Ovis aries: one gene and its partner. The protein of the gene in region 1 binds, or shares a complex with, the protein of each later gene. Links are inferred from orthologs where the notes say so. Each region holds a gene or a part of one and is shown in the gene's direction. Other genes may lie near its edges.

Region 1 (4,847 bases):
CTCACCACCCTCCAGCCCATGAAACACACACGGTTCTGGATTTGGACTCTGCTGTGAAGTGGCTGGAAAGGAGCAGAGGCCAACTGAGGGGCTCGTCCGGGAGATTGTCTCCACCAGGAGATTTTTATAAACCCTCCCCAGCCTGTCGCAAAGGGAACTTTGGCAGCAAGGGGAGATGATGCCTTTCCCCACCTTCCTGAGAGCAAGGAGAGGAAGTGAAACTGCCCCAGGGACCAACTTTCCCATCTGGGTTAGAATTTGACTTCTTCCTCTCCACGACATGAGGCAGGGGGCCCTGAGCCCCTCGGCGGCCTGCACAACCCCAACTTTGGCTGCAGGTGACTCTCAATCTGCCAAACGTGCTGCAGCCCGTTTTCTCCCAATTACAGCAAGACTGTCAGCCTCACTAGCCATGTCGTCATTTCTGGGTGGGAGCGCCGAAGAAGGGCCTAGGCAGAAATGGAGGGAGCCTGCTGCCCAGTATTACAACTGAAAGGGCTGGACTGATGACCCTGAGGGGCCAGGCTTTGGGCTCTGTATACACAGCTGCTTCCAGCAGGCCTAACCCAGTGCAGCAGTACTTAATTATCATGGAAAATTCCCTTCAAAGCAGGGTATACGATCCCAGAGTGGGTCTCTGATTAGTGGTAACTTCTAGGACCATCTCCAGAAGTATTTGGACCTGTTTCATCTGCATCTTCCAGTCCTACCGTTTTCCTTGGGCTGGATGAAGCAGGAGTTCTGCCTGCTGCCAGGAGTGAAAGGTGAAGAATTTGTTCCCAGCTCCAGCTGAGGCTCTTGGTCCCCTCTTGAAGCCCCTCACCAAATCCAAACCAGTCACAGGAGAATGAAGTAGAGATCTGCCTGGAATACCTACCCTACCCTGGAAGGTCAATATGCTTGTCAGTCCTGACCAGGACCCACAACCACATCATTCTGAGATCACTGGAGTACCCCAATTTCACACACCCCAAAGGAAGCTCAAGCTATAGTGACAACAGTCACACACTGGGCTGGCTGTAGTACCTTGGGGTTGGGGGCGGTAGTTATCTAGGAGAGCCCTGGCCTTTCTTAGCCCTGGCCTTTTAGTATTTGCTCTCCGTTTGACCTGTGTCCAGGGGGTGCTCTTGCTTGCATCTTAACTTTAGTTGACACACGATGTGGGTTTAAGCACAGCACATTGATGGTGGGTGGGGTGATCTGTGAAGATGATCAAAGCCTGACAAATGCAGTTTTTCTCATTTGACTCCACAACTATTGGGGGGGGGGGTGTTGCATAGATTGGAAATTTATTTCATAATATTTGCTGAGTTCCTGGTACATGCCAGGTATGGTACTGAGCCAGGTGCTGGGGAGAAAAAAAAAAAAGCCATGAATTAGTCAACTCCTTGCTCTCTTGGAGCTTACCTTCTAGTTTTCTATTTCATTTTATAGGCAAGGAAAGCAAGGCATAGATCTGTAGAAGGCAAAGGGCTGAGCTGAGACTTAAGCCCAGGCTGGATCCTCCTAGGGGTCTTGAAGCGGTCACTCCAAGGCACTGGTCTCCCATTCCTCAGAAGCCCTTCTTGTGGCCCTCCTTCCCTTTTTCTTTTTGAACCCTGGGGTGCAGTGGCCATCTCTGCTTCAGTGCCAACCTTGGAGGTGCTGCTTACCGGCCGACGATGAAAGCAGAGGGCAGGTGCGAGTACTAATCAGGGGGATCAGTAAACTAATCACTACTGGGCGGAGCGTCGGCCTCAAGCTCCGCCCCGGTGTCTCTGCTGGTCGAATGCGCACGCGCATCTCCCAGCGGCTCCGCCTATGATCGTGGGACGTCGACAGCGCGCGACACGGTCTCCTTATAAACGCGGTGGTAGCCGGCGTAGGAGCACTTCGACCTAGAGCGCCTGGGCATTCGGACGTTTGGCTAAGTGGCGGCCCGCGACGCAGCCCGCCCCTGCTTCTAGCTGTGCCATGGCGGACGAGGGGAAGTCATACAACGGTCAGTGCTGGTCCTTGGGCCGGGGAGAGGGGCGATCTGGAGCCCCGCTGGGCAGCGCCGGCCTAGGCCGCAGCGCCGGGGCGGGAGGCCGCGAGGGGCCGGGTGTCCGCGGGGAACGGCAGTGAGTGGCGCGGGCCCGGGGCGAGGCAGCCCGGGCCCTGGCTGAACTCGAGGGTGAGTGCCCGGCTCGTTGACCCCAGAATCCTGGCGCTGTGAGCACCTGCGGCTCGGAGCGGGTGGCTCGGCGGTGAGGTGACTGGATTCCTTTGAACTTTGTGGGTGGTGGATGCCTGTCAGTTCAGTTTGGCGGCTATAGTAATGTGAGTCAGTACCCTGTTCTTGGGCTGCCGGTGCCCTATTTTCTACCGTGCGTCCAGTCGGTCTTGCCCCCTCCCCCGCCGTCCGCAGCTTTAGCTTTAATATTCTAGACCTACACTTTAACTCACTGTTTTAGCCAGAACACTACAATGGGTTTAGATCCAGAGTAGTGGTTGTTGGCCATGCCGATCATATGTGAGTTAAACACTCAGGCCTGATTTTCCATCCCCTGAAGGAGGATAGAAACAGTACCTGTCTCCTGAGTTTGTCTCCATGTGTGTGTGTTTGTATTAAAACGAGATCGTGTGCGTCGAGCGCCTGACATCGGATAAACTTATTGATAAATGTTAACTGCACCTTCTAGTCGTCTATTTTTTCCCTAGGGTCGTTTCATGAGATTCAATGTTTGCAGAGTACTGGGCTTCCCTGGTGGCTCAGAGGGTAAAGTGTCTGCCTGCAATGCAGGAAACCCGGGTTCGATTCCTGGGTCGGGAAGATCCCCTGGAGAAGGAAATAGCAACCCACTCCAGTATTCTTGCCTGGAAAATCCCATGGATGGAGAAGCCTGGTAGGCTATAGTCCATGGGGTCGCAAAGAGTCGGACATGACTGAGCGACTTCACTTCACTTCACTTCATAGGGCTCTTTTTCAGAAGCCATTTCTACACACCACAGTTGAGAGGAACTCCAGAGTTTGAGAATAAAATTTATAAAAGAAACCATTAGATTGATCATACTTGTAGTTGATGTTTGTACTCAGTAGGCAAAAGGAGTATTGATTAAGTTAATGTAATCATTATGATTGGTTTACCTGGATATGAAAGAGGTCACTTGGGGTTAAGTTGATGTGGGTGGGCAGACAGCAGATTTCAGGTGACTTTTCGGAGAATGAGTTGTGTCCAGTTACCCTTGGGTCACTTCAACATTCACTTCAGAGTGGCAGTTTTTTAATATGGTTGATTTACAACATAATATTAGTTTTCAGGTATGACATGAAAGGGAACATAGTGATTCAGTATTATGATAGATTATACCCCATTAAAAGTTATTACAAAATAATGGCTGTCACCCCCCGTGCAATAATATATTATTGTTGCCTATCCATTTTATACTTAGTAGTTGCTGCTGCTGCTGCTGCTGCTAAGTCGCTTCAGTCGTGTCCAACTCTGTGCGACCCCATAGACGGCAGCCCACCAGGCTCCCCCGTCCCTGGGATTCTCCAGGCAAGAACACTGGAGTGGGTTGCCATTTCCTTCTCCAATGCATGAAAGGGAAAGTGAAATCTCTCAGTCGTGTCCAACCTTCAGCGACCCCATGGACTGCAGCCTTCCAGGCTCCTCCGTCCATGGGATTTTCCAGGCAAGAGTACTGGAGTGGGGTGGCATTAGTAGTTGGTATCTCTTAATCCCATAACCTTATCTTGCCCCTCCTGCTTTCCCTCTCCCACTGATAACCAGGAGTTTGTTATCTATATCTGTGAGTCTGTTTCTGTTTTGCTAAATATATTCGTTTTAGTTTTTACATATGTGATATCAGACAGTATTTGTCTTTTTCCGACTTACTTTACTAAGTATAATAACCTCCATGTCCATTCATGTTGTTGTAGTGGCAAGATTTCATTCTTTTTTTATGGCTGAGTAGTATTCCGTTGTGTGTGTGTGTATACCACATCTTTATCCATTAGTCCCTTGATGTTCATTTGGATTGCTTCCATATCTTTCCCTCTGTAAACAGTGTTGCTGTGAACAATGAGATGCAGGTATCTTTTTTTTTTTAATTGACCTGAAAACAAGTGAAGCTCATATGTATTCTTCCCTTTTTCTTAGTTTTGATGCTTTAAAGAAAAATCTTTATATTGGAGTATAGTTGATTTACAGCAGAGTGATTCAGTTATACATGTATCTGTTGTTTTTCAGATTATTTTCTCAGGGAGGTTATTACAGTACTGGGTAGAGTTCCCTGTGCTATATACAGTGGGTCCTTGTTGATTATCTGTTTCAGATAATAGTAGTGTGCAGATGTTAATCCCCACTTCCTCATTTAGGCATGCATCTTTTTAAATTAGTACTTTTTTTCTTTTTTCTGGATATATAATTGGAGTGAATTTGCAGGATCATATGGTAGTTCGAATTTCAGTGTTTTGAGGTGAGAACAAGACTTAAAAGAAGCCTTTCAATTGGTCGTAGTTGTAACTGACATTTGTGCTTTATAGGCAAAAGAAGTATTGTTTACTGAAAGCTGATGTAATCATTGTGATTGACTTTTCAAGATGTGATCAAATTTTGAGTAGGGGTAGTCTTAGAGAGTGAACTTATGGTTACCAGGGAGAGGTGGGTAGGGAAGGGACAGATTGGGAGTTTGGGATGGACGAGTACACACTGCTATATTCACAATGAATAACCAACAAGGACCTACTGTATAGCACAAGGAGTGCTGCTCATATTCCATTAACAGTCTATTTGGGAAAAGAATTTTAAAAAGAATAGATACATGTATAGGTAAAACTGAATCACTTTCTTGTACACCTGAAACTAACACATTATTAATCA
Region 2 (4,829 bases), on another chromosome or scaffold:
GCTTGCTTTGTGCCTGGCCCTGGGCTAAGCACTGACGACACCCTCTTCCAGTCACTCGTGACCCAAGGAAATGAGGGCATTACTGTCCCTCTTCTACACATGAGGCACTGAACCTCAAGAAGGTTAACTTACTTGCAGAATCACTCTGCTAGTGCAGGAAGCCACACTAATTAACTTACAAGTAGGTTTTTTTATAGGCTTCTCTGATAGCTTAGTTGCTGAAGAATTCACCTGCAATGCAGGAGACCCAGATTCGATCCCTGGGTTGGGAAAATCGCCTGGAGAAGGGAATGGCTACCCACTCCAGTATTCTTGCCTGAAGAATTCCATGGACAGAGGAACCTGGTGGGCTACAGTCCATGGGGTTGCAAAGAGTAAGACACGGCTGAACAACTAACACTGTGTTTGTTTATGCCCAATTTTTAGCAGTACTGATAATAAAGGGAATATACTGACTCTTGAAACTAGAAAGGCTAAACTTCAGGGTTGATTTGGTTCCCAACAGTCATCAAAGTCTGCTTTCTCCCCCTCTTTCTTGTCTGCCTCATGGTACAAGGGTGCCCACCTCAGCAGAGCAAGATGGCTGGAGCAGCACCACCGCACATCACATGTCCAGAAGGAAAAAGAGAAATAGCATCTTTTCCAAAATCCCCTGGCAAACTCCTTCTCTAGCTTCAGCGGCCCTAATTAGGCAGCCCACCACCCTAGAATTGCTGCCTTAGAGCCAGCAGTGTGTCTAACTTTCTAAACTCAAGCAGCACCGGAAAGTATAAAACAGGCTTGCTTGGAAGCTTACTAGAATGTTGTGGAGCAATGATTTGAACCCTGTCTGCTCATTCAAACAGTATTTACCGACCCCTTGCTGTGGATCAGGCACAGTTTAGATGGTAGAGACTAATCTGAAAGTTCCGGACCTCCCATCTTCCTGTTGCTGGCTGGGCTGCCTCTCAGGGTTAAATTCTTGTTTTCATCAGAACCTAGGGCTGGTTAAATATCCTCCCGACCAGTGTTTCTAGGACTGAAGAGGCTCTGTGACTCCAGACTGTCACTTAATTTCTGTCTCTCGACCTCCTAGTCTATATCAGGAATAATGATGCCTTCCTGAAGTTATGAGAATGAAATGAAACGGGTTTACATGGGAAACATACGGAAACTTAAAAGCGACATCCAACCCAGTGGGCATGCAGGAGGTCAACTCTCGTTTTCATGCTAGTGATGCTGGGATTCGGAGTTTTGTAGATTAAATTCCCATTTCACTGGATTGGGCTTTGTAAAGACATTGTCTTGTGCATAAGGTTCCAAAGACGCTAGTTCAATTCAAACGTTCTACTCAACCTGCAATTTATTTGTTTATAAACCACATTTTTCATGGCGGGGGTGGTAGCCTATATTGAAGAGCCCATCCACTTTCTAAACTGGCCCTGAACTCTGAGAGCAAGCGTTCCCCTAGGAAAGCAGGCAAAGAACCGCCCTGGCATTGCCAAGGGGAACACACCCAGAACAGGCGGCAGCGTCAGTTAACCCGTGCCAGGAGGTTTCAGCGCAGCCGCGAGACGGCCCCAGAGCCCCCGCCCAACCCCGCCCCAGAGCAGGGGATCTGCGAGGCTTCGTCCAATCAGAGGCCGTACCTAACCTCGGGCCTACGTCTATAGACCAATGAAGACTCGAGCGAGCGGTCTTCTGGGAACTTGCCTTTCCCGGAAGCTGCCCTACCCGTGCCACACTTAGGCGGGGCTAGCCTTACGGTCGGCAGCCCCACTGGCTGAAACGGCTGTCCGTCACGGGGCGGGAAGGGGCCGGGCGCTTGAGTCTGCGCGTTGCTGGCTGGCCGCGCGCGCGGGAACCCGCAGAGGCGCTGGCTGGACCCGGCAGGTCCTGGGAGGTAGTGGTGAGGCGGAGGCGGCTCTTCCCCGGCCCGCCTGGGCAGGCTGCAGAGGACCGCGGAGCCTCGGCTGGCCTGGCCTACGGTCACGGGGGGCTCCGCGTAGCCGCGTGAACGGAGCCGCCCACGCCGACCCGTGCGGTGATTTTCCCCTCACCTGCCCGCCCAACTGAGCCCCTCGCTGACGCGGTCATCTCCCGCACTGAGCAGGGCGGTCACTCCCGTGCAGGTAGGTGCCCCTGCGCAGGTCTGCGCTCCCGGGTCTGGTAGATGACCCCCGCGTACGTAGGAGGTGCCCCCCCCCCCCCGTCAGTGGCCCCGGAGTGGCGAGGATGCCACTTGGTCTCGCCGCGAGTCTGGGGCGGTTGCAGCCCCGCAGAAACGACCGCTCCCTAAGGACCCCCAGGCTGGCAGCTGGTTGAGCCGCGGCGGCCCGAGATGCCGGTGATCGGCGTGGACGCCAGCAGATGGGGGCTCGGCTGGGTGCAGGGGGTGGTGTCCAGCGAGGGCGATGGGCCCGGAGGGGGAGGTTACAAACTGGCCATCCTGGAACCCTGCGCCCCCAGACTGGACCCAGAGAGGCAGGAGCCGGTGAGACAATCGCGCCGTCCGGGCAGGCAGCGTATTCTAGTAGAGGACAGATCAGGGCCGTGTCCACCCTCGACCTAGTCCACACCTGGGTTTTCTTTCCTCGTTGCGAAGTTGTTACCATAACGCCTCATCAGTTTGCGGTGACTATTGAAGGACGGGGTGTATATGAAGCGCTGGGAAGTATAGTTTGGAGTGAGTGTGTGCGCGGCTGGACTTGAGGCCCCACCCCCGCCCCGAGGGGGTGGCAGGACCCGCGTGGGTGCCTGGCCCTCAGCGCTCTTTTCAAGGCTGGAGCTCTCCCCGCCTACCCGCTCCTACCCCTGGCCAGTTCTCTCCTGGAGGCTCTGGCCTCCTCCACCTTCCTCTCCCTGACTCCCTCCTAACCTTGCGTGGGATCTTTTCTCTCTTTCAAAAGCTGATTTTTTTTTTTTTTTAAGTTAAACTCTCCCCATGTCTCATCCCCATAAAGAATCCGCCTGCAGTGCAGGAAATAAGAGAGGCGGCTTCCATCCCTGGGCCAGGACGATCCCCTAGAGAAGGAAATGGCAACCCACTCCAGTATTCTTGCCTGGAGAATCCCATGGACAGAGGAGCCTGGCGGGCTACAGTCCATGCGGTCGCAAAGAGTCAAAGGAACACTACGGAGCATGCATGCACAACGTTGAAATAAAAAAATACTTAAGTTTGTAAATCTAAATGCATCCAATATTTTAGTAATGTTGTCTTCTGTTGGATTTTTGTGTAGTGAAATATTTTAATCAGGCAAAAAAGAATACAACTACAATAGTTATTGTATACCTTGGGGAAAAAAAGCAAATAATTTTTCCTTATGCTTTTGGACTCTTTTTTTTTTTAAGGAAATGTTTCATTTTGGCTACAGCTAAAATTCTTCCTTGCTGTCACCACCCCCTCACCCCACAGAATTTCTTCTGTCTGGCCTGTCCTTTCTTGGCTCACAGGACTCCCCTGTGCTCCCTGGAGCTCTTGAGTCGTCACTCATTCCAGTCAGCTCCAGCCTTGCTCCTCAAATAGAGCCCATAGTGAGAACTGTGGCCACCAGTACTGGTCCTGTCCTGTCCTCAACGACATTTGTTCTCTTGCCCTCTTACGGAACCTGCCTTCTCTTCACCTTCCCAGGCCCAGTAGGTGAGCTCATGATAGATGGATCAGCCTTCGTTGGGCCACTGTTCCTTTCTCCAGAGTGTGGTGTCTGCACCAGACACACGAGGGCAGTCACAGCTGTTCCATGCTTCCAGGAAAAAGCAGCCTCCCACAGTCAGTTGTTAAGAAATTCATTGTTAAAATTCATAGTAATAAGCTGTCATTGCTGGCCGTATGGGTCTCAGGCTTTTTAACTGAGTGTGCGGTGTCCCCTGCTTCCCTTCATCCTGCACTGCAGTCATAGTCATGCACAGGTAGGGATGTTCCTGTCTCCAATGAGCAAACTGGGGCCCAGCCGGACCAGGCGTCGGCAGCAGGGGGCGCCCAGAATTTCGCCTCAGTCGGAGGACTGGTCCTTTGTGGGGCGTGACGGTCATCAGCATTCACACAAGGTCTCTTCCACCTTCCGCCCCCTCGGGTACAGGAGGCACCTGGGCCAAGGCCTCCCTTGGCGAGGCCACTGATGGCGTCCGTGGACTTCAAGACCTATGTGGACCAGGCGTGCCGCGCAGCTGAGGAGTTCGTGAACGTGTACTACAGCACCATGGACAAGCGGCGGCGGCTGCTGTCCCGCCTGTACATGGGCACAGCCACCCTGGTGTGGAACGGCAACGCTGTCTCCGGGCAAGAGTCCCTGAGTGAGTTTTTTGAGATGCTGCCTTCCAGTGAGTTCCAGATCAACGTGGTAGACTGCCAGCCTGTCCATGACGAAGCCACCCCGAGCCAGACCACGGTCCTTGTGGTGATCTGTGGGACAGTGAAGTTTGAGGGCAACAAACAGCGAGACTTCAACCAGAACTTCATCCTGACGGCCCAGGCCTCACCCAGCAACACAGTGTGGAAGATTGCCAGCGACTGCTTCCGGTTCCAGGACTGGGCCTGCTAGTGGGGTGGTGGGACACCCCAAGCCTGAACCCTGGGCTCGCTCAAGTCTGAGGGGCCCCTGTCTGGGCATACACTTGTTTGTCACAGTTGCCTTTTTGAAGTAGTAAAATTCTCTATTTTTCTATTTGCCCAGGAGAGACTCTGGTTCTGGAAATTTTGATGAATAAAATGTTGCTTCTTTTCCCCTTGCTGGATGTGTTTGGGCGATACTGGGGAGAGGGGCCCAGGAGAAGGAGGGTTAAAGCTGCAAGGCCAGCAGAAGGCACTGCAAAGACTGAGATCCAGGGCTGCCGCACACACAGAGGACACC

Evidence for each region.
Region 2: the proteins of NXF1 (region 1) and NXT1 are in contact, whole or in part, in a crystal structure (PDB 4WYK), measured with the Homo sapiens proteins. The link is inferred for Ovis aries from reciprocal best matches to the Homo sapiens genes NXF1 and NXT1. Residues at the interface, in NP_006353.2 of Homo sapiens: Ala366, Pro367, Thr368, Thr369, Leu370, Pro371, Pro372, Cys373, Lys374, Gly375, Tyr377, His411, Gly413, Cys415, Cys416, Ser417, Leu418, Ser419, Ile420, Pro421, Phe422, Arg440, Asn441, Val442, Lys443, Lys444, Lys446, Pro448, Thr449, Arg451; in NP_037380.1 of Homo sapiens: Phe6, Lys7, Val10, Asp11, Cys14, Glu18, Thr44, Val46, Trp47, Asn48, Gly49, Asn50, Ala51, Phe61, Met64, Leu65, Pro66, Ile72, Ser73, Val74, Val75, Asp76, Cys77, Gln78, Pro79, Val80, His81, Glu83, Ala84, Thr85.

What each region holds. Positions count from the first base shown.
Region 1 is NC_056074.1:37,645,305-37,650,151, reverse strand, and holds the start of NXF1 (nuclear RNA export factor 1), read left to right. Parts: upstream 1-1,840; 5' UTR 1,841-1,953; coding exon 1,954-1,981; intron 1,982-4,847.
Region 2 is NC_056066.1:41,578,669-41,583,497, forward strand, and holds NXT1 (NTF2-related export protein 1), read left to right. Parts: upstream 1-1,806; 5' UTR 1,807-2,111; intron 2,112-4,058; 5' UTR 4,059-4,097; coding exon 4,098-4,520; 3' UTR 4,521-4,707; downstream 4,708-4,829.